Neurospora crassa OR74A: one gene and its partners. The protein of the gene in region 2 purifies or fractionates together with the protein of the main gene of each other region. This does not show direct contact. Links are inferred from orthologs where the notes say so. Each region holds a gene or a part of one and is shown on either strand. Other genes may lie near its edges.

Evidence for each region.
Region 1: the proteins of NCU08046 (region 2) and NCU07954 purify together in Saccharomyces cerevisiae (affinity purification with mass spectrometry; 5 studies listed by BioGRID, with this or other methods). This does not show direct contact. The link is inferred for Neurospora crassa OR74A from reciprocal best matches to the Saccharomyces cerevisiae genes TIF35 and HCR1.
Region 3: the proteins of NCU08046 (region 2) and NCU02810 purify together in Saccharomyces cerevisiae (affinity purification with western blotting; 3 studies listed by BioGRID, with this or other methods). This does not show direct contact. The link is inferred for Neurospora crassa OR74A from reciprocal best matches to the Saccharomyces cerevisiae genes TIF35 and GCD11.

Annotation. Positions count from the first base shown.
Region 1 is NC_026504.1:1,228,864-1,236,603, forward strand, and holds the start of NCU07954 (hypothetical protein), read right to left. Parts: upstream 5,079-7,740; 5' UTR 4,835-5,078; coding exon 4,816-4,834; intron 4,511-4,815; coding exon 3,721-4,510; intron 3,654-3,720; coding exon 3,638-3,653; 3' UTR 2,551-3,637; coding exon of another isoform or gene 130-2,550; 3' UTR 1-129. Other genes in the region: pod-1 (mitochondrion biogenesis protein), read left to right, coding at 130-2,550; aod-1 (alternative oxidase), read left to right, coding at 6,650-7,008, 7,104-7,209, 7,280-7,740. UniProt on the Saccharomyces cerevisiae protein: Component of the eukaryotic translation initiation factor 3 (eIF-3) complex, which is involved in protein synthesis of a specialized repertoire of mRNAs and, together with other initiation factors, stimulates binding of mRNA and methionyl-tRNAi to the 40S ribosome.
Region 2 is NC_026504.1:4,017,179-4,024,972, reverse strand, and holds NCU08046 (eukaryotic translation initiation factor 3), read left to right. Parts: upstream 1-3,904; 5' UTR 3,905-3,974; coding exon 3,975-4,000; intron 4,001-4,056; coding exon 4,057-4,311; intron 4,312-4,467; coding exon 4,468-5,116; intron 5,117-5,320; coding exon 5,321-5,545; 3' UTR 5,546-6,059; downstream 6,060-7,794. Other genes in the region: NCU08047 (hypothetical protein), read left to right, coding at 673-3,027. UniProt on the Saccharomyces cerevisiae protein: RNA-binding component of the eukaryotic translation initiation factor 3 (eIF-3) complex, which is involved in protein synthesis of a specialized repertoire of mRNAs and, together with other initiation factors, stimulates binding of mRNA and methionyl-tRNAi to the 40S ribosome.
Region 3 is NC_026501.1:9,044,910-9,052,742, reverse strand, and holds NCU02810 (eukaryotic translation initiation factor 2 gamma subunit), read right to left. Parts: upstream 5,079-7,833; 5' UTR 4,665-5,078; coding exon 4,147-4,664; intron 4,082-4,146; coding exon 3,095-4,081; intron 3,022-3,094; coding exon 2,991-3,021; 3' UTR 2,531-2,990; downstream 1-2,530. Other genes in the region: NCU02809 (hypothetical protein), read left to right, coding at 1-151, 303-1,111, 1,170-1,991. UniProt on the Saccharomyces cerevisiae protein: As a subunit of eukaryotic initiation factor 2 eIF2, involved in the early steps of protein synthesis.

The sequences.
Region 1 (7,740 bases), about 2.8 Mb from region 2:
ATTTTCAGCCTCGAGGACCGACCATGGATACGGCACCGAGCTGTCGTCATCACCATCGTCGCTGAAAACATAGGAAAAAAAAAAGGAACAGGTCGGTCCCTTACTCGGTCGACAGTATGAATTTCAACAATGTCTACTAGCGCTACGACGACCCAGCTGGGCCGCCAGCTATGGTCTTCAGTACGAGATCTTCACACCACCTCGAATCTCTTCACAGCCGCGATACTGCTTCCAACTTGTCAGCCATTACTGAGTCGTCAAAGTCTTGGACTTGGCCCCTCGACATCGCTGGGGTCCCATCAGCGATACGGACAGCAGCAGAGCACGCGACAATTTACCTCTTCCGCAAGTCGCTTTTTCTTCCCAGCAACAAAATCGCAAAGACTACACTATCAACAGTCACAACCATCCCATAATGTCCTACGAAGCTGTACCTCCGGAGGCCTACTCCTCCTTGGGCTCACCACCAGCCCCTCTCCAACGAGCACGGTAGAGGCATCCGCACTATCCGGCAATGCCGCGCAAAAGGCAAAAATGGGCCACTTGGCTCGGCAGGCTTTACTCTTGCGAAGGATACGACAGAACACCACGACCACAACGTTATGCAAGACAGGAAAGCGATTCCAAAGTTCGGGCAAAGAGACCAAGGGTGATCATGACGAGACCAAGGCCGAAGCCAAGTCTTCTACAATTTCTCCTCAGCAAAAGTCCGAGCAACCACAGCAGCCACCGAATACCGAGACGGCTTCCGGTTCTGGTTCCCAGCCGACTCCCGCACATGAATCAATAGCAGATTCCATGTCTAAATACCTTCACCTTCCTCACCTCCCCCATTTGCCTCATCGGCCCACAAAAGAAGAGCTTCTGGCGGCAGCAAGCGGGTTCTGGTCGCGTCTCAAGGTCCGATTCAAGTGGTTCTCCATCAGGAGCATGCGCCCCTGGAACGCCGACGAATGGGGAGCGTTTGTGTCCTTCTTCTTATTCGGTCATTTGGTCTGGATTCTTGTTGGCACAACTACCTTCTTCTCCCTCATCATCCTCTTTATCAACACGGTGTTTGCCCAGGAAACGCTGGCCAAGTGGATCGGAGACTACCTGACCCAATCTGCTGGCCTTACTGTTGTCTTCGAGTCGGCTATTGTGCCCAAATGGGGAGATGGTGTCATCACTTTCCGCAATGTTTTCGTTTCTCGGAGACCTGGTCAGCCCAAGTCTTCCGTCAAGAAGGGTTCTTCCGAAGCTGCGGCCGAAGCTGCTGCTGCTAAACAAGCCGCCGAGCAAGAAGGCACTGCCGTGGAAGAGGACGATGGCAATTACACACAGTTTGACGTCACTATAGACACCGTGAACGTGGCTTTATCTTTCCTCAAATGGTGGAACGGAAAGGGTCTCCTCAAAGACGTCGAAATAAAGGGTGTTCGAGGCGTTGTTGACAGGACTTCGGTTGTCTGGGGCAACGAGGACCTCAACCCCCTTGACTTCAGACAGGAACATAACCCTGGCGACTTTGAACTGGATCACTTCAAGATGGAAGACTTGCTGGTCACCGTCCACCAACCGGGCGGTTTCCGGCCCTTTTCCGTTTCCATCTTCTCCTGCGAGCTGCCTCAGCTACGAAAACAATGGCTGTTTTATGACTTTTTGTCAGCAAATCACATGTCCGGATCATTCGATGGATCACTATTCACCATTCATCCCAGACAGATCCACGGTGTGTCCGCAGCAGATAACGGCCGTCACCACCAAGACGAGTTCGGTTCTCCCTCGGCCTGGAAGAAGTTCTCCCGACTACGGATTGATGGGCTGAAGATTGACCACTTGAACCGCGGTGTAGAAGGACCGTTTGGCTGGATTTACGAAGGCAACGTCGATATGATTGCCGACATCATGTTCCCTGCGGATCCTGAGGAGGGTCTAAGCAAGGTTGTCGCCGAGTTTTACGACAAAATGGAAGAAGCCGTAACCAGCAACCGCTACCTCAAGATTCTAGACGGCAACATTTCTCCCAACAGCCGAAGCAACACCAACAGCCCCACCCTCGAAAGCGGGCCAATTCCGGAATCTGCCTCTGACATCGACCTCACCGGCCACCACGACGAGCTCCCCACCTCGGAGCAGCACTTCCCCCCCTTGATCCCTCCCGCGACTCCCAAAGAGCCAGCCCCGATTGAAGAAACTCCCTCCTATCTAGTCATGGACCTTCGCATCCACCTCAACGACGTCCGCGCCGCTGTCCCTCTGTTCAACAACCCACACATGAGCTACGTGAACCAAGCCCTAGTACGGCCCATCGTCGCCTACATCAACGCCAAGCGCACCTACATCCCCATCAGTTGCCGGATCGTAAAGCGGCTGACGGACTTTGACGGAGCTTGGACCGTTTGGGACTGTGGGCTGATGGACGATATGAGCGCCGAGGTGTACCGTGCTTTTGCCAGAAACGTAGAGGATCAGCAAAGTAGGGTGAGGAGATTCAAGCGCGTGGGACTGTGGACGGTCAGTCTCGTGGTACATGCGTTGCTGGCTGGCGTGGCGGGAGACTTGATGTGAGCCGTCATTGGATATGACACTGACGATTATAGACTTTTGCCTGTATTTTATCAGGCGGGTAGAGGAAAAGTCTTGTTTTGTGACGATATGGGGTTGTGTTGTACTATCCTTTTTTCTCTCTCTCTTCTCTACTTTACTTTACCGTGAGGGGGTTACCATACCTTTCCAAGCGGTATTTCACTGTACTATACATACATCAAACATACTTATATGGCTCTGAAAAACAGGAGCTCGAAGGAACAGACAGGCAGGCAGGCAGGCAGGCAGGTTATGGTTATGAACAGGAGGGAGGGGATTTGAAACTGGTTTACGCTCTTAATGACCCGGACGGATCGAATTACTGGCTGGAATCATATGAATGCGGGAGGCGAGGTGTTTTGTGTGCCCTGGTTTTGTTGTCAGTGATGATGGTTGCTCAGGGCAGATCAACATCGCGATCGGAGTTTTAAGTGTTTTGATTAGGGTACAGCAACATTGTCTGAAAAGTTCACATGGTGTTCATGGTCGGGAAATATCACCTGTTCACTGGTGTAAGTTTCTGAGAGGGTTCTGAGATGGTGACTGAAATAGTGTTGGTTGTAATTTTAGCCATGGCATCGATAAGAGAACCTCACACCAGGATGATATGCAGCCTGGACTTTCGAAACGTGATGCTCGCCTTCATTATTGAATGCACTCTAAATCTACTTTCCCCCATGCTATATGGTATCTGCTGCCTTTTCCCGTCACCCCCAAGTCGCGACTCGATCAGTGCCCCAAGAGGCCATCCTCCTTTTTTCGTCCAGTCTGGCACTGATGACGACTCTGATCCCTCATGCATCCATCCAAGACATCATGCCACTGAACCTTACGTCCGGACGGCGGACGTGCCGTGACCGTTGCGCGGGTGTCGTGGTAGTCTACGCTTTCTTTTTACGCCATGAAACACACGCAACCGCTACTTTTTTGCTTCGCTCCGAATGCTTCCCGGGTGAGATGAGTATTATACCTGGTGAAGGGGATGATTCTACATCCCTTGATGGGAAGAGGGACTCGAGGCCTCTCTTCCTCACAAAGCGAACGATTGTGATTTATCGGTAGAAATCTTTCACATGAAGTCATCACTAGAGCGAAACGTTAGCAATCGTTCCCCACGCGTATCTTTTCTCACTCCACCTCAAGCCAACTTACTCTCCGAAAGCATCATCATCATAAGTGTCGTGGGCCTCAGCAATGGCACCACCACGACCAACACCAGCGAGCGAGGTCTTTGTCTTGGCAGCCTTGCTCTTCTTGCCACCCTTTTCGGCAGCCTTCTCCTCCTTGAGCTTCTCGTTGCTGAGAGCAGTCAAGGTGCTAGCAATCTTCTTGATCTCGTCGCTCTTGAGGTCCTTGGCGAGCTGCTTGGAGAACTCCTGGAGGAAGAGGGTGTAGTGCGGCTTGGGCGAGAGCTTGCCGATCATGGGGCCAAGAGTGGTGCGGAGGGTCTCAAACTGGGTCTTGGTGGTAGGGTTGAACAAGGCCAAGGTCGAGATGTCGATGGTGTTGTTGGGGTCCTTGGGGTCGATCTGGACAATGGTGCCCTTGCTGACGACCTTGCGGTCGTTGCTGATGCCGATGCCGGCAAACAGGTCCTCAGCGTGTTTAAGATCGGACTCCTTCTGCTCGCGGCGGAGGCGCTCGCGGCGCTCGGCCTCGGTCTCCTCCTCCGCGTCCGAATCCTCAGCCAGCTGGCGGGCGCGCTCGGCCTGACGCTCGGCGATGCGCTGCGCCTTGGACTTCTTGTTGGCGGCGGCTTCGGCCTCAGCCTTGGCCTTGGCCTCGGCGGCCTTCTTCGCCTTCTCGCGCTCTACCTCGGAGTCCTCGGCGGCATCCCACGAGTCGAGAACGTCGCTCTCGTTTCCCTCCTCATCGTCGAAGCGGCGGCGGCCGGGGGCAAGGACAGGCGAGTTGGGGGCGGAAGACTCCTCCTCTTCCTCGTCTGTGGTGATGAGGGGTTAGTTAGTCTGGGTTTCGAACAGGTTGTGGTGGCGCAACAGGAAAGTCGATGCAAGAGTTGGTTCTGGTTGATCTGTATATATAGGCTGCGTCGCTGAAGTCCAATTCGCCTCAAACATGGAAGCCTCGAGGCATATGGCAATGTTAACAGCGTCTATCGCAAGCCGGCGCAGGCATCAGGCAGCCTTGTCACGGCGATCGCGGCCGCCCACTTTCGCCGACATACACTGTTCGCGGGGTTCGTCTTGCGCAAAGAGGGAAAAGGCAAGGAGAGCGAGGAAGACTTACCCCACTTCTTTCCAGACATGTTTGCGATTTGGTAGTGACGATCTAGAAAACCGAACGGGTCTTTGCGACAACGATGTCTGGCGCGACGAGGAAAAGTTTGCGTGCTGTGGTTGGTTGTGTCCAAACTGCAAAAGAGAAGCCGATCGCAGTCTTGAGAAGTTGAAAAAGCGAGCAGGGGTCAGCCACCTTGAGTGTGGTTCCGTTCGCAGTGGGCAAAATAACTAGGTATTGTTAGCGGGGTTAGAAGACCAACAGTGAAACAGCAACAGCGTTTCACAGGTTCTTCAAGGTTCTTTAACGTCTAAGATTTTAATACAATGCCAAAACTGCCAGGGAAAAGGGCTTTGTGACCAATTGGATTTCATTGAGAAGATGCCCGATGAAGATGAGGAGGAAAACCAGAACCTCCAGACGCCTGGGGCGGCTAGTCTTCAATACACAGGAATCGTCCCCATTTATTCCTCCCGTTTATGTTTTACCAAGCACCTGACTTCCTCGTACGTCTTGCTTGCTACCATCCCTTCTGAATAACCACTTCCTTCCCATCTTTGGTATATATCAATGCCTTCCCTCCAGAAGGCTTTATGCGGGGTCAGTGCTGTGTCGCACGGGCCCGTCAGTCAGGGTCGGTGCTGAGTCCTGACAAAAACCATCAGTTCGCCAACATGCCCGTCTTTATTTCCCTTTTTCTTTTCTTTTCGTTCTCTTATCTTTTAGGACATCTTGTATATGCACGATGCATGCACCATATATGTACGGCCTCGGTCAAGCAGCATGTGCTAGGTGCAGCAGGCCTAGAAGGATGGCTTTTTGGAGAAGTCTGTTAACGCATGTGGAGAGAATGATTCATAAACAACTAGGTGGATGCTAAAGCTCTGCTCTTTCACCAAATGTTCTGGACCAGGAGTCACCCGAAAATGCCCTGCGTCGTCAATATTTTGTACACCACTTCCACCCCGCTTCCGACACGGGATAATATTTGGACACTTGCAATTGTTCCTTCGATCCTACACTCTACGAATAACTACCACTGACGTCACAGCAAAGTTAGAAGTTTAACATGAAGCCATTCGCAACTTATGGCCCAAGACATTTGTTTGTATATTTGCAGGTTCGGAAGCAACCAAGCCATTGCTCAGTCATGCTGTGTGTCCTATGAGAACAAGTGCGACTGGTGTTCCGTTTCCCTCCGCTCGCTATTACTGTCAGCAAAATCTCCAACACATAACTCGCCCAAGTGCCCTGTCAACCAACCAACCAACTATCAATGATCTCGAAATCTCCTGTGGCTGTCTTTGTGTTGAGTCACAATCCCCCAGTCTTAGTGTACTTGCTCAGGGGCTCGCTGTTCTTCTGGATATGTACAAGGCTAATCCCGAGAATGTTGCGGAAGTGGAACTGCGCCCTATGGCTTGTCACCCGGGAGGTCCCGACACCGCCAAACAACGACATCCAGCTGACCACCACAATCGATGCCCGGTTGCCACTTTGAGGATTCAAAATGAAATTTTGTCCTGGTTGAAGATCTGGAGCTTTCCGGGTTCCTTTCGCTAGCGCCCGCTATTTGCTTGTTCCTGGATTGTCTTGATGTTAAAAAATGGAGATTGCTTGGGCAGTGTCGGAACTCTATTGCTCCTTTGAGACCAGGGACGGACAAACTCGGTGTTTTCAGTCAGCTCTCGTATTCCAAATTTTTCCCTGAAAGGAGTTGCAACTGGGGGCAGGAAAGGACGATATAAACGTCCCGTGTCTAGTGCTGTCCGACACATATGGACCATCATCACAAACCTCAAGCGAGTTCCATTACAACTTCACATCACTCCCTAAACTCTCGATGAACACCCCCAAAGTAAACATACTCCACGCTCCAGGACAAGCGGCCCAACTAAGCCGTGCCCTGATATCAACCTGCCATACTCGGCCTCTCCTGCTCGCGGGCTCTCGAGTGGCCACTTCCTTACATCCAACACAGACGAACCTCTCTTCCCCATCACCTCGCAATCTCTCGACAACAAGCGTTACTCGACTGAAGGATTTCTTCCCGGCCAAAGAGACCGCCTATATCCGGCAGACACCACCCGCGTGGCCTCATCATGGATGGACAGAGGAAGAGATGACCTCGGTTGTTCCCGAGCACCGGAAACCCGAGACTGTGGGCGATTGGCTCGCATGGAAACTCGTACGAATCTGTCGGTAGGTAAATTCCAAGGAGGGTTCCCATATTGCCCCTCAAGTATCTTGCGGACGCGGAAGCAGACGTAGATTCAAAGTGTTCTAATATCAAACAGATGGGCCACTGATATAGCGACGGGCATACGTCCAGAGCAGCAAGTTGATAAACACCACCCGACGACCGCCACCAGCGCGGACAAACCTCTGACCGAAGCCCAATGGGTATGTTCTATGGAGCCCTACGAGGACGGAATGGCAACACAAGCTAACCAAATGTCGCAAATCCATATAGCTCGTCCGCTTCATCTTCCTCGAATCCATCGCCGGCGTTCCCGGCATGGTAGCCGGCATGCTCCGCCACCTGCACTCCCTCCGCCGGCTCAAACGAGACAACGGCTGGATCGAGACTTTACTTGAAGAATCGTACAACGAGCGCATGCACCTCCTCACCTTTATGAAGATGTGCGAACCCGGCCTCCTCATGAAGACGCTCATCTTGGGAGCGCAGGGCGTCTTCTTCAACGCCATGTTTCTCAGCTACCTGATCTCCCCCAAAATCACCCACCGGTTTGTCGGTTACCTCGAGGAGGAGGCCGTACATACCTACACGCGGTGCATCAGGGAGATTGAGGAAGGTCACTTGCCAAAGTGGAGCGACGAAAAGTTTGAGATCCCGGAGATGGCGGTGAGGTATTGGCGCATGCCGGAGGGGAAGCGGACGATGAAGGACTTGATCCATTATATCCGCGCGGA
Region 2 (7,794 bases):
CGTACTTGCTCTTTCTATTTTTTTTATCTTTTTTCCTTTTTATTTTGCTTTTGTTCCATGAGGCTATCGCTCCTCCCTGGAAGACGATCCATCCAGACACAAAAGTCCCGCCCCATTTCGGCCCATAGACACCCATCGAACTACACTTACAAACCAAAACTTTTCCCACTTAATTTCTAGTCTTGGCTTTCCGCTTTTAGGATTGGGAAATCTTCTCGCGCCTGGATTTGACGCCCCGGATTTCCACTGCCCGTCCAGGTTCTCATTGTCGTATCCAGCACATCTCCATGTTTATTATTACTACCACGGCTGCATACCCTCTTTGAAATCTGACCGATCCCAGTCCCCCGTCATTCGTTCTCCGACCCGACCTTTTGGTTCTCCCATTTACACACCCAACCGCACAGCAATTTGCACTCGTTTTATTTTTTTCTCTCCAAGCAACAGAGAAAAGAATTCAACAACCATCGACTCCCATTGCCCTGCATGGGTATATGCAACCCGCATTCTCTTCGTTTCCAACTACCACCATCACATCACCGCAGCGCCAGAGTACTGTCTCTTGTGTGGCGGTGAGTACCCAAACCAGGAACTTTTGCGCCCTGATCGACACCGCATACCGAACCACATATCCAGGACTTGACACCGCCAGGGTTGGCTCCCTCCGAAGCAATGTCTGAGCCACATCATTATCATCATCATGACCAAGGGGAGGAATTCGAAGGGGCACCCTCGCGACAGGAGGCGGGCAGGTTAAATAAGAGGGACTCGAAGCTTGCGTTGAGGAACTTGTTTCACAGAAACAGATCAGCTACCGAAGCCGAACGAATGTCGACTGTCGCTCCCAGAGATACACCAACGAGGTCCGGAGGTCTGCGCGCCTCCATCGCCAGTGTTAGCCACTGGCCCTATGGACTGCATAACGATAATGGCCAAGCCCAGCGGTCCGACGTGACGTTATCCGGGTCCGCGGCCGGATCTCCTCTCGCATCTACCTTCCCGGCCCAAACTTTGAAACACAAGAAATCAGCAAGTGCAGTGCGTGGGCACGCATCGCCTAGAGCATCAAGGGGATCCCTGGCTGCCTGGGATCCACCAACCCTTTGCCAAGTTTATCCCCAAGCCATCAAGCAAGCCCGTCTTCCTGCCTGTACCGCTTCAGCTGAGGCTATACTCAGGCTGCATCAACACAAGGGCATCTTCTCGATTAGCGACGCTTTTGGATCAAGCTCAACAACAGCTGCAGATGGGGCAACTCCGTCGACAGCAGGAGCTGACAGGTCCGAGAGAGGGAAGAGGAAGCACCGCCGCAATACCTCTGGATCGGTTGCCCTCAAGTTAGACTGGACGACCAAGTTTTTCGTGCTTATTTCGGGATACTTGCTCCAATACACTGGGGATGGGCCCTTGGACCGTCTGCCGGAGAAGATCTTGCCGCTCGGAAAGGACTCAGCTGCCTTTGTAAGCGATGTTATTCCAGGACGTCACTGGGTATTGCAGATAACCGCCACAGCCGATTCGGACTATGCCGCCCCAGCATCTCACGCCAGCTCATTGCTTTCCCGGCTGCCTTTTCGAGGTGACAAAAGGCAGGCCTCCAACCTTTTGATGGTATTCGAGAACGCGCCCGATATGGAGAGTTGGTTGGCCACGCTTAGACGCGAAATCGAAGGCCTCGGAGGAAAGAAGAAGGTCTCGGAGACAGGAAACACACATTTCGACAATGAGGCTTCAGAGCTTCGAAGCCAGACGAGCCAAAGAACTTTGGTAGTTGATGATTACGTCGGGACCATGTCTGGTGATGCGTGGGACGGACGCCAGAGCACCTCCAATCTGGATATTAATATGGACTTCACTGAACGAGGTCAGTCCTTTGACGAGGCTGCGTCCACCGCTAGCGTAATCTCTCATGATGGTAGACAGCTAGACGGACTTAGGGACAGTACTCAGCGGTTTTCATATCTGTCGTCCGGGCAGCGTACAGCCCTCACGTCAGCTGGGTCATCACCAGCATGTTCGCCTATTCACGACTCTTTTGCAAACCTTCAGGACTCCATTCCAGAGCTCACCGCCCTTGATGACCAACCCCGACCGCGACCAAGACCGAATGCAGCAGCGATCAGTGACAGAAGACAGTCTCTGCAGACGTCGAATCATCTCCTCGAAATGCGTCTCGCCGCCTCTCATCCCCTCTCGAGTTTGAGCACGTGGAATTTCGATCCCAGCAGCCCTTCGAGCTCTAGCAAACGATCCAGCCAGCGTTATTCGCTCACTAGGTCAACAAAATCCCTCCCGGAAGAGGAAGTTGAACCATCTTCTCCACCTCCTCCGCTACCTTGTCAGATGCGCGGCGGTTCACGGAGACCCCCGCCCTCGGCTCTGTGCCTCAACTCACGCCCGCTCTCTTTTGTGGTGGATCAACCGTCGCCTGAATCGCCGTCGCTTGATAGGAAAGGTGTTTCAATCGAAGTAGCTGATGAGACAGCACCGGAACCGGAGTCCCTTTTCTCGTCTTGGGGATTGCCGGACGCAACCAAGCAACGTTGTGACAGCGGCGAGGACTGGGAGAATCTCTCTCCCACACAACCTGTCACACATGGTAGCCCTGAAAAGAGGTCAGGCTATGCTCCTCCATCATCAGTGGCTTTCCAAGACATGCTCAGATCCACTCCGTCCGTCGGCGATTACCCAGGTAGCCCATCGAAGCGCGCCGATAGAAGATTTAGTCTGCAGTCTCAGCTGTCAGAAAGGTCAAGCGAACCTGATCGCAGTTTCCTTGATCTGAGTGACCTCGGTGACGATCTCGGCGACCTTCCCCAGATATCTTCAACTTCACTTTCGAAGCAGGGCTCGAGACCCGCGCCCCATTTTAGGTCTTTGTCGGTTGCCAACGGCGGCTTGGGTTCGCGACGGAATAAGACACAGCTGGCGGAAGGTCCCCCACCTGCTCCCCCGCCGAATCGTGCCCTTCCTCCAATCCCGAGAAAATCGTCACTTCAAGTCTGTCACTCAGCATATTCACCTTGAGCTGTGATTTGCATTTACTCGTATCTGGCGCCATACCATCATTCAACGCATCGCCATTTCTGGACGTCTAGGAAGCACGACCACTGAAGTTTCCGAGTATCTGTCAGCGACAATACTTGCAGAGCAAAGGGCGCCTGGGGATTCAACTGATAGAGATAAACCGCCATCGAACCGCTGATTGACTCCGTCACCATTTCCTTTGTCTCTCTTTTTTCAAGGTCGGGTTCAGTCGAAAAACAAGATACCGGTTAGATGGATGGAATAAGGATGCAGGAAGCAAGATACTGGATACCCAGGTGATGAGGGTACATTTATACCACCGGCGACATCCGGAACGTAACGTGTGAACGATCTCCTTTGTCAGGTCGATTTGGTGCGGGATTTGTCTTTTTTTGCCATATACCTTGTATTATGTAATGTTGGGGTACCTACTGTGTATGTAGGTGATTAATTGAGGAGGTGAGTGTGGTGGGCATGAAGGGCGGGGTGGTTTTCGATTCTCAATCGGAGGAGGGGGGTCACAGAGTCAGAAGAAAGCTGGTGCCCGGCAGGCTCCGTGGCCAACTTAGATAGCAGTGAGTTTAGAGCATCAGATATGGATGCTTGGAGAAATCTGAATCGAGTTCAAACTCTCAAACTTTAACCTCGGTGCCAGCCATCAACTTGCAAACAAAGGTACCTACTATGTACAACACGTCCTGGTGTCGAGAGAGTTGAGCTAGCTCCATGTTGCGGCGCCGCGCCCTGCCCCTGGTAGGCCTGGAGGAGCAACGTTCGGGTTAGGGTTGTGATGCCTGTGATGCCCCCACTAATGGATGCGAAGTGGAAGCAACCCAAAGCGGATAATGAAAGAAGGGGCAAAACACCTCAACGTATACGTCTGGATGCGACCAGTCCTGCTTTGTCAAAGAACGAAGCTTCGTTTGTAGGGAGCCGTATTGGCTGTCATGTGCGAATCTGCTGCCTTGATATTGTACGTAGGATAGAGCACCGTTAGCTGCCAAACAGGGCTGATTTCCTGAGTGAAAGCCGAGTCAGCAAGACAATTTTTGCCCCACACTCAAATATCCAAAAATTCCCACCTCCAAAAAATGGGGGGGAAAACTGCCCTGGCTTTTCAAACTTGAGCCCCACCAAAAATCGCCGCCAAACCAGCGCAACGTCAACCCATCGCGACGACAACCCACGGCCATTTCAGTCATCCACCGCACCCATCACCAGACGAGCCGAACCTGCGGAATCAAAACAACCACATACTGTCAAGATGGCTGCCGTTCAACAGAAGTCAGTACTCCTCCGCTTGCCTCGACAGCAAACGCCCGTCTGCATCCACGCCCCCGATTCCCCCGATTGCCATTTTTCCGGCGTGCTTCACAACCCAACACGTATGCATTTGATTTCTCGGAGAGTAAGAGTCTAACATAGTTCGCGACCATTCAGGCACGACTGGGCCGACGATGACGAGCTCGAGGAGACCTCCACCGAACTCCCGCCCCCTCAGAAGATCACCAACAAGGATGGCAGCACGACCATCATCGAGTACCGCCTGAACGACAACGGCCAGAAGGTCAAGACCACACGACGCATCCGCTACATCACCCACCGTGAGGTCGTCAACCCCCGCGTCGCTGAGCGCAAGTCGTGGACCAAGTTCGGCCTTAGCGTCAAGGACGGCGCCGGCCCGGCCCCCGACACCACCTCGGTCGGCGAGAACATCATCTTCAAGCCTTCCTTCAACTGGCGCCAGGAAGCCAAGGATGAGAGCAAGGACCCCAACGCCCAGGCCATGAAGGACAAGTTGAAGGACAAGAAGGTCAAGTGCCGTATTTGCAACGGCGAGCATTTCACCGCCCGCTGTCCCTACAAGGACACCATGGCCCCCATCGGCGAGGCCGGCGCTGCCGCCGACGTCGCCGCCAGTGCTGCTGACGAGGCTGCTGCCGCTTCCCAGGGTGCGGCGGGCGCGGGCAAGAAGGGCTCGTACGTGCCACCTGCGCTGCGTGGTGCCGGTGGGGCCGCGGCTGCTGGAGAGAGGATGGGCGGCAAGTACGGCGAGCGCGACGATCTCGCCACTCTCAGAGTTACCAACGTACGTTTGCCCCTAGTGTCCCCCAAAAGGACGCGGAGGAGGAGGAGGAGGAGGAGGTGGTGGTGGTGGTGGAGAAGAAGAAGAAGCAGAAGGAAAAGGGAAAGAGGGAGTAGGCGACAGACTTGCAAAAGCTGCTCTGTTCTGCTCCTAAAGAGGGGTTATTATGACGGGACTGATTCGTGCTAACATGTTTTCTACGCTTAGGTCTCCGAGATGGCCGAGGAACAAGAGCTTCGCGATATGTTCGAGCGGTTCGGTCGCGTCACTCGTGTCTTCCTTGCCAAGGATCGCGATACGGGTCTTGCCAAGGGCTTCGCCTTCATCAGTTTCGCTGATCGCAGCGACGCTGTCAAGGCTTGCGCCAAGATGGACGGTTTCGGTTTCAGACATTTGATCCTTAGGGTTGAGTTCGCGAAGAAGGCTGCGTAAACTTAATGGGTCTTCTAGACGGACGAGGAGGCGGAGGAGAGGGAGGAAGGGGTTAGAGGAATGATGGAAGAAGCAGCGATGTTTTGGTCCCTAATGCGGTCTGCACAAGGAAGTGCGTCATCAAAATGGGAAAGGACTCTTTGATACTACTATTACTTGATCTGGTTCCTGTCTCTTCTTGCTGTGGGGGTTCATACTAATGGGGAACAAGCGGCAAAATTTGTCATGATCGAGAGATTTCTTCCGCCTTTTAAGCATATCGGGCCAGGGTGGCCAGGTGGTTATAGTTGACTTTTGTTACATGGATGACGGGCTAACTCCAGGTTGAACAAGATCGGTGTAATAGACTGGCAACATGCCCGGACTACAGGAGCCCAAAACGCACCGAAGCTCTTCAGAATACAGTGTGGTCTTCTTGTCGATTCAGGGCGCATGCCAGTGTTTAAAACAGCTGACAGCCTCTCTGAACTCTTGAATTATTATCAGTGCATTTATCTATCCCGCTGAACGTCCCTGGCATCAAACATTATATTACTTGGTGACAGAATCTGTTATGATGTCCTATCATCAACTCAACCGACCAATCGCAAAGACCGTAAGTTCCTGAGCTCTCTCAAAGCAGCCGGCACGTCCCTTCATCCTCTTCATCTTCCTGTCTCATTCATCTCATCACCGTAAAAGTCGTTCATCCCTCCGCCCTGCCCTCATAAATCATGAAGTCTTGGAAGATGTCGACAAAGAAAAATGGCTGGTTGCCTATAAGAGAAATAAGAAACAAATATCACTCGAGAATGAAATGAAAAAAAAAAAAAAGGGGGGGGGGGGGGGACATTCGGCGCAAAGAAACCTCAGCAACAACACCATGAACACACAAGAACAATAGCCTCCCGCCCATCATAACCCCTACACCTTCTCATCCCTAGACCTTCTTGCCTTTCCCCTCCTCCTCCTCCTTCGGTCATGATCACTCTCTCCATCAGTATCATTCCCTTCCTGCCTTTCCTTCTCCTCCTCATCGTCATTCTCGCTTCCATTCACCTCTTTCAGGCATGTTCCACCCTCCTCTTCCTCCCTTTCCCTAACCCCCCATACCTTTCTCCTCCCTCCGCCTTTTTTCCTCTTCCCAATCCCCCGTCTTTCCTCCGACTCCTCTCATCATGTATACGGCACTCTTCTAACCCACCCCTAGCTCAGCTCCACCGCCAACCTTAAGTGGCTCCGCGCCTGCTTGAAATGAGCGGCTGCTTTCGACTCTGTTGGTGCGCGCTAGGGTCGTCCGCTTGCGTGAGGTATAGCAACGTTCGGCGCGTTGGAGCTGGAGCTGGAGGGATCACTTAGATGGGAGAGCATCATGATGGACAAGGACACTGCGAGAGAGAGAGAGGGGAGTGGAAAGTTCAAGAGTTAGAAAAAACCACCCAACTGAGTGTATATATACTTGAATGTGTAGTGAGGTTGTTGGTTCGATACTACCTGGACGATTCTGAATTCATGCGATGTCTTGGCGTACTGGTCCCCTTTGGCGCAGAGTGACTGTTGTCACACTCTGAAGGCCGTTAATTGAAGTCTATCGATTGATAGGCGGTGGGCATGAACACCCAATCAAATTCTATATCTGCATGTGGTTGTGGTGGTCAAAGCATCATGTCGACTGGTTCCCTCGATCCGTTCCAGAAGACGACGCGTTCTTGCCATGAAATCGAGGATCGCCAGGCACCATGCATCACCATTGGCCCCCTTGCGCAAACAGCTTCGGTCGGGTCCCAAGGCCGTAGTGCAGAGAGAAATGGATGGGAAAGGATCTGTGATGAAAATACTTCAACTAAAGATGTCGGCGATGTCTGCCGATGGCAGACTGACGTAGTGTAGTCCTCCCCCGGTTGTTTCGAAAGTTGTTGAGGTGGAACCTGAATGTGAAGACTAGGTGAAGAGAGGGTGGAGGGGCATACATGCTACACTACACTGTAACAAAGATATGGGAAAGCTCGTCACTTTGATGACGTTCTGTTAGTAATATCTATGGCATTCCAAAGCTTTACCAGCCAATCATGTGAACTGATACTAACAGATAGTGATCCCAGATACACCAAGACGTTAGGGCGTCAATGGTGTGTAGGTTAGCGTATCGACAATTGCGTATTGGCAGCTGGTTGTCATCTCCAGGTCCCAATTTCCAGCCTCAAACCATGGAAACTATCATGTCCACCCTCAACTTCCCCTCCTCCTTCCTTTCCGATACAACCTAGCTC
Region 3 (7,833 bases), on a different chromosome or scaffold from region 2:
ATTCCCATGACCGTAGTGGAGGAGACGCCAGATAGCACTGGTGCCGTCACCCACCATGAGATCGAAGCGAGGCACAGGGTTGACAGTCCTCCCGACGTGCTTGTCAAGGCGGATGGGCAAAAGGTCGAGCATGAGAAGGGTGGTGACAATGGTACGGATGCGTAGCACTTCTTTCTAGCCACACACACACGCGCGCGCACACACACACACTTTCACAAGCACATGCCTGTTTGTTTGTTTTTTTTTGAGCCAGCAAATTATACAAGATCTCCTTTGTATTGACTTTACGTTTTCCTGCGTAGATACACCAATACCACCTGCATTAAAGAGTCCCGCCTCGATCCATTCTAGAGACTCGTCATCTGATCTAGACCAGCCATCCCCTGACTCGCCCTCATTGGGGCCCAGTCTTCTAGAAAAGGAGGAGGCAAAAGATGACGCGCACGACAATGTCGTACGAGACAACGCCAAGACCGCCGACGACGAAGACGCCGATGAAGATGAATCCAAGAAGGAGGAGGAGAATGTAGAGGTCAAGACTGAGCAGGCTCAAGATGGAGAGGTGGAGGACGAGAAGCACGAGGAGGAACAGTCAAAAGACCGCGACACCGAAGAAGCATTGAAAGGAGACGAGTTCGAGGATGCCAGCGAAGAGCTTGAGACGCAAGATACAAAGGAAGAAGACACAGAGGACCACTTCGACGAGGCAGAACCCAGTCAAGAGAACGAGAAGAAGGTCGAGCCAGAAGAGGACAAGAAGGACGATGTCAGCTTTGACCAGAAAGAGGAGAAGCCTGTTGAAAAAGATGGGTTCGACAACGACGACGACGACGGATTTGCTGAAGCAGGGGATAAAGCCCCCGACGATGACGGGTTTGGTGATGACGACTTTGGGGACGACTTTGCTGAGCCAGCTCCGGCTGGCGCCGATGACTTTGGGGATGACTTTGACGACTTTGAGGAGGGAGCCGAGGCCAACAACGATGCTGACTTTGGCGACTTTGACGATGCCGGCTTTGACGACGATGACTTCCAAGAAGCCGAAGGGTTCTCAGCTCCAGCACCTGCTCCTCAGCCGCAACCACAACAACCGCAGTCCTCATTATCCTTCGTAAGTCCCCAACCCAGTTACTCCCTCTACGTCCAACACACACTAACATATCCCCTAGCAAATACCCGACTTCACCCACCTTTCCGCGTCCGAGATCCTCTCCCTCACTTCCCCTTACCTCAACGCTCTCTTCCCTCCCTCCCCCGACACCGACGGCGACGACTCCTCCTCCTCCCCCATCCCCACCCTCAATGTCTCCAACGGCATCACCGACCCCATCTTCCAACACCCCCGCTCCGCCTCCCTCTGGTCACAGCTCGTCGCCCCTCCCCCACTCCAACCCCCCGACTGGATCCGCTCCCGCATCCGTCGTCTCTTCCTCGTCTCCCTCGGCGTCCCCGTCGACCTAGACGAGATCCTCCCCGCTTCCAAACAAAAGAAACTCGTCTTGCCTTCGTTAGGCGACCCCGACGCAGCAGACGACGAACGCACAGGTCGTTCGCGACGCGCTAGCTCTGCCGCCGCTGCCTTCCGCAACAACCAAAACAGCCAAAACCTTACCACTACTTCGACTTCGAATTCAAGCCGCAACCCATCCAAGCAACCACCCGTCAACAAAACCGTCGCCGCCGCCGCAGGATCAAACACAGAAGGAAGCGCCAACCGCTCTTCCAGTTCCGCTAGGAAGGGACCACCGCCCGAACCGGTATTCGACCTAGTGGCTGCCAAGCAGCTGTGCGAGACGACGGATGAGGCGCTTTCGGGGATGACGGACAAGGAACTCAAAGAGCATGTTCAAAAATTGGAGGCGATGCAAGGGGTGGCGTCCGAGGTGTTGGTGTATTGGCAGCAGAGGACGGATGAGAAGATTGGTGATCGGGAGGCGTTTGAAGGGGTGATTGAGAATCTGGTGAAGCATGCAAGGAAGGTTAGGAAGTAAGTAAGTAAGTACGTGAGTACATAAGTCGGGGTGGGGGAGGTGGGTGTGATTGGGTATATATATATGTGAGAGTGTGGGTGGTTGGTTTGGTTGGGGATCAGGGAATGGAGGGGGGAAAGGAAAAGGATGATGATTATATTCTATTCTTCTATTCGATGTACAGGAGGTGATTACTTTGATAGACTGAGACTTGTTATAATATCAGGTGTTGTAATTAGCGAAGGACAAGAAGGTTTTTTTCGGGTGTGGTTCAGTTTCAAAAGGGGGAGGGAATTGTGATAGGTATGATAGACTATCAGGTCTAGAAAGAGAAAAATGAATAGAGTTACGTACGGATACATACTCGACTGTGTCCCATGAAGAGTATTGTTAGGTATATTCTTGGACTCTTTCCATCTATCCGAGCCATTACCATAGCCTAGTATAATGGTAAGATGGTCATTACGTCGAAGACTCATGGCGGAATCAATGTATTTATCTTCTCTACTTCACTCTTTCAAGTTTACTCTTATCATCACCACTGGCTAATAAACTCAATCCAAGTACGTCGGACCTTGACAAAATCAACGTAATGGCATCTTCTCTACCTCTACCACTACTTGGTAAACCCAAAGTACGTCGGTACCAAACATAACTTTTTGTACAAAAACTCCTAATGGTCCGATAATGCGCTTCTCTTCACGAGTTCCTCTTTTCACAACATTCCTCGCTCATCTTCTTCAACGAATCGTATGACCAGTCTTTCTACTGTCCTCGGCCCCAAGTTGGATAAAAATAAGACCATGTACAAATTTCACAAGGCTAGTTTTTAGAAACACAGGTCCCGGTTTCCCCACGCTACGCCGTTTCCTTCCGTGTCCGCGCCCAAGTTTCCATTCTTTGATCATCCTCCAACGACTTTTTGGATATTCATCATTAGAGCAACCAAAAATTAACAACCTTTTAATTTTCCTCCTAATCAAGCGATGTATAAACTTTGGATATTTTCTGGTCGCTCGCTTAAGAGGTAGAAGGCTCGAGGGTGACACCGCTGTTTTTTTTGTTAGTGGTTATTCAGTGGTGATAAGTTATGGGGTAAAGAAATAGAAAAGAAAAAAACTTACGCAGCAATGGTAGCCCAACCGATAAGACGCCAGTGCTTCTCGATACGTCTGGAAAGGGCAACCTTCTCGCCGATGCTCGTGCAGGCAGGGGAGGTGAGGATGAGCTTGGCGGCATCCTTCTTAATGGCGGAGACCTTGGCACCGGTGGAGGTGGAACCAATGTTGACCATGATGACTTCGTTCTTGGCAAGCTTGTCGACCTTGGCCTGCTTGCCGTCGGCGGTGCGGACACCGAGAAGGCGGCGGAGGAGGTAGAAGTTAACTTCGATCTCGGAGTAGATTTCGGGGAGGCGGCCCTTGAGACCGAGGACGAAACCGACCAGACGATCGGCACGGCAAAGGGTAGGATCGATGCGGGTACCAACACCAATGAGACCACCGGGCACGGCGTACTTGAGGTCGTTGGCCTCGGAGTTGAGGGAGACAATCCTGCTGAAGATGGGAGTGCACTTGAGGTCGCCCTTCTCGTCACGGGTGACGATACCGGGACGGATCTCAATCTCGTCGCCGAGCTTGAGGACACCGTGGAGAATGGAACCACCGGCAACACCACCCTTGAGCTCGTCGATCTCGGCACCGGGCTTGTTGACGTCGAAGGAACGAATGACAATCATCTGGGGGTCCATGGAGAAATCCCTGGGAGGAACGGGGATGGTGTTGACGATGGCATCGTTGATGGCGTCAATGTTGAACTTGAGCTGGGCCGAGATGGGGATGATGGGCGACTTTCCGGCAACGGTACCACGGATGAACTTGAGGATGGACTCGTAGTGCTGCTTGGCGGCCTCCTCGCGCATGAGATCGACCTTGTTCTGGAGGATGATGATCTTGTCGAGCTTCATGATCTCGATGGCGGCCAAATGTTCGGAGGTCTGGGGCTGAGGGCAGGATTCGTTTCCGGCAATCAGGAGGAGAGCGGCGTCCATGACGGCGGCACCTGAAAGCATAGTGCTCATGAGAATATCGTGACCAGGGCAGTCGACGAAGCTGGGAGGAGGAGACACATGGTCAGTCATTCATTGGCGCAAATGATGTTATGTTAAACAACTTACGAGACATGGCGCAACAGACGGTAGGTGCCCTCGCAACCCTCGCGCTCGCAAGGGGGATCAACCTCCTTCTCGGACTTGTAACTCCTGTAGCATGTCGGGCGAGGGCATGCTGGGTTGTCGCACTTGTAGATCTTTGCGTTGGCGTAACCGAGCTTGATTGTGATGTTGCGGATGAGCTCGTTCTTGAAACGGACCGTCTGGACGCCCGAGATGGCTTTTACTACTGTCGACTTGCCGTGGGCGACGTGGCCGATGGTGCCGATGTTGATGGTGGCCTGTCGCGCAATGATCTCGGGGGTGAGGGGGCTGAGGGTCTTGACGTCGAGGTCCTTGGGATCGGTCTGGGGAGGAAGGGGAGGTCTCTGGACGACGGGGGCGGGGGCCTTCTTGAGGGCCGACTTGCGCGGCTTGGCCTCGACCTCGTTGTCGGACTCGTGCTGGTCGACGTGAGACTCGTTGTCGGAGCCCGAGTCGGACTCGACGATGTCGTTGCCAAACTTGTCGCCGTTGGTAGCCATGATTGTGGATGTGGGTGGATGGAGGTGAGGTGTGGAGGTGAGTTAGGTTGGGTCGTCAAGTCGATGGATGGATGTGTCGCGGGGCAGTAATTTTTTCGCTTTCGGTGAAGCAACCCCTCTTGCTGTGTACTGTGTAGTGGGTGGTGTATGCCTGGTAGTTGCTGTGTACTTTTCTAGACCCTGCTCCTTGGTGTGGGTATGTATGTGGGTGTCCTACTGTCTCCGCAACGGGACTCGCGATATTTGTGATAGCGGACGTTGTTGGTGGACGGTAGAGGTAGTAAAACTGGACCTGCCAAAATAGTGGGGTTACAGCGAAGGTTGGAGGAAGGCTGAGAAGAAAAACTGCCTGCCTGGTGGATGACTCTGACGATATTTGACTTGTATTTGGCTTGTGCTAGGTCGGTATTTTCCTGTGCTGCCGCTGCCAGCTGCGACCAACAAGGCGAGAGCCTCACACATTCCGCTCTGCGAACCTGCCCTGCGTGCGCCCAACCCTTCCCGCCTTTGCCGCTGCCCCACTAAGCACGGTTTTCGGTTTAGCCCGACCGTCGCCTGCCCCACAAGGGCCGATAAGAGCGCGATAAGGACCAAGTAAGTGTAGTGCTAAAGTCCAGAGCTCAGTCACGGTTCAGCTTCAACATCATTGAGGTGACTTTTGGAACCTCTCTCCTATCAAGAGTTCGCCATCTACACTTTTATCCAACCCTCTGTCCCGTCTGTGTCGGCAGAAACTTACTCACAGCGTACACGGTAACTCAACGCTGAGAATTATATCAACTGAACGTTGAGAACGGGTACATTGTATCGATCGGCGAGTTGAATCCGGTTTCTTTCTTTGAGAACAATCGTTACTCTGCAACGGCCTCTCCCATTGACACCGGCATCCTTCGACGTACATACAAACGTTTCCGGGTCGATAAGCTGATCCATCATCAACAACGCCGAGTCTGCTTGTCGTCGTCAACTCTGAGGAGCACCCACGATGCTGGTCATGGCCACAGTCTCAACTCTATGAAGCTTGGTTAAGGGCGTCATCAAAGTCGTACCTGCTGCCAATGCCTGACTGTGGAGCGAAAAGGTAGGACACGAGGTGTCTTCTCCTGGATTCGACCCTTTCCCGTCAAGTTATTCGATATCTTCACGAAAGGTGAGGCTCATCGCTCTTGGGATAATAAGGGTTCAACTAGGGCTCAGTCTCGGGATAATAGCGCTGTGAAGAGTTGAGCCAAGTGGCCCGAATGTTGTCCTCCGTGATCTTGGACTGAGGCAGGGAGTAACTGCAACAGCTGTGCAAGCGTTACAGGATCATGTTATGTTTTGAGTGTATTTTGCTGGGAATATGCTCGATATACATCAAAACTACATCGGCCACCAACACGCTTCTCTCCCGGCCCCCAAAACACGCCCAAGCCCTTGTTTCACATCCAACCCAGATGCTTGTTGGATCGGAATCGGGAAGATTCCGGGGCCAAGACCTGTTCAACAGCGCGTACAACCGTCTCTGATGGTTCGAGAAGCAGTCTAGTAGGATTCAAGCCACAACCGATTCACAGCAATGACTATTGGAGCGGGGAGAAGACTCAGCCGGTTACACGAGACATATCCGCTTGACCGCTGAATGGCCGTCAGTCACGTCCATAACCATGCTGGGAGCTTGATCATCGCTGGGTTGGGGTCAAGAAAAATAGCACGGGAGTGTCTATTCAAGTTCATTCGGGCTGAGACTGGGCAAACGGACCAAACGATGAATTCACAACTGGCATGGCCGAGCCACTCCTATTAATACCTTGTCAGTTCTTCTTAAGAGGCGCACTGCTGAGGATTTGTCTTCTGCAATGAGCTTGGTAATCATCGTTTCACGACATGATGTGGCCAGCACTACCTACGGCACCACTCCCCAAAATGGGAATTCTTGCTGAGCTCGGATTTTTCTTGTCAAGTCATCGAACCGCATCAATGGTGCCATGGGCGATGACTTGCAGCAGCCGAACAGCGTGCTTCCACCGAGCCACCGAGCCACCGAGCCACCGAGATGACCGAGAGAGCGGGTAGGAATATAACGCAGAACTGGCTGTCCATTATGGTTTTGATGGCGATATCACAACGGTGGTACTGAAGCCTTAGTACACAACCTCCGTCTCGGCGGGCTAAAAATACTAAACCGGTGGCAACACCCCCAAGTTGATGTGCTAAATACTGGCACTTCCATGATACTCTGTGCTTACGAACACCCGATGGAGGGCGGGCAATATCTGTGTGCTGACAAGTGCAGCACAAGGTAACCTCGCTTCCAGGTGTAGATACGATTTTTCGTCAGAGTTGAGGACGGCATATAAGTTGCCAAGCTATCTATGGGCGGAAACTCGTAAGCTGAGATGTCCGAGTTGGATAACATATTGGCTGTCAAATGCAAGTCCAGAACAAGGACATCACTGTCGCGGACTTGTGACCACGGCTCTGATATTCAAGGTATTGATCTTTGCGAGTCCAGAACATACACCCAAACACCACCAGCCTTGTATCGTCTTTCCTGAATCAAGCTCGTTGCATAGTCCGTCTTACACTCACTCAGCAGCACTGCATCCGTCCTAGCGGTGTACATGTCTTGGTACCATGCCATGTTGTCCGCTGTGTTACGGAACACCGACGTCGTTGTTCGTCGCTGTTCCAGAGGGACCCCGCTCCCAAATAGAGAAAAGCGTGAAGAACACAGAATAGCTGGAAAGTCGGGAAGCAGAGACCACACGTGTGATGGTGTGACATTGACAAGTCTGAAGAAGCCGCCGGGTTGCTGAAATCCCCGCCTTCACCAGCCCTTGGCTTTCACATTAATGAACATGGTCAACTGACGATGCTGGTCGGCAAGTATAAAAGATTACTGTGTCCCCGGCGCGTGATTCCCGCGCGTTCCCGCGAAGTCATGGTCAAACATCACACTCAGAATCGTGAATTTGGCCCTTTCTGGGTCAGCGCCCGATATTAGATTGGGGGACCATGATTTGCGCAAAAAATGGAGTGTGAACAGCGTGGAGCGAGCGAGTCGCTAGTCGCGGAGAAGAGAGCGTAGAGGAGGTTTGTGTGGTACCGCTTGCCGCCCAGCAATGCATGGTTGGCAGCTCTATCACAGGATTGTGCCAACTGATTGGCTACACATGTGAAAAGCCAA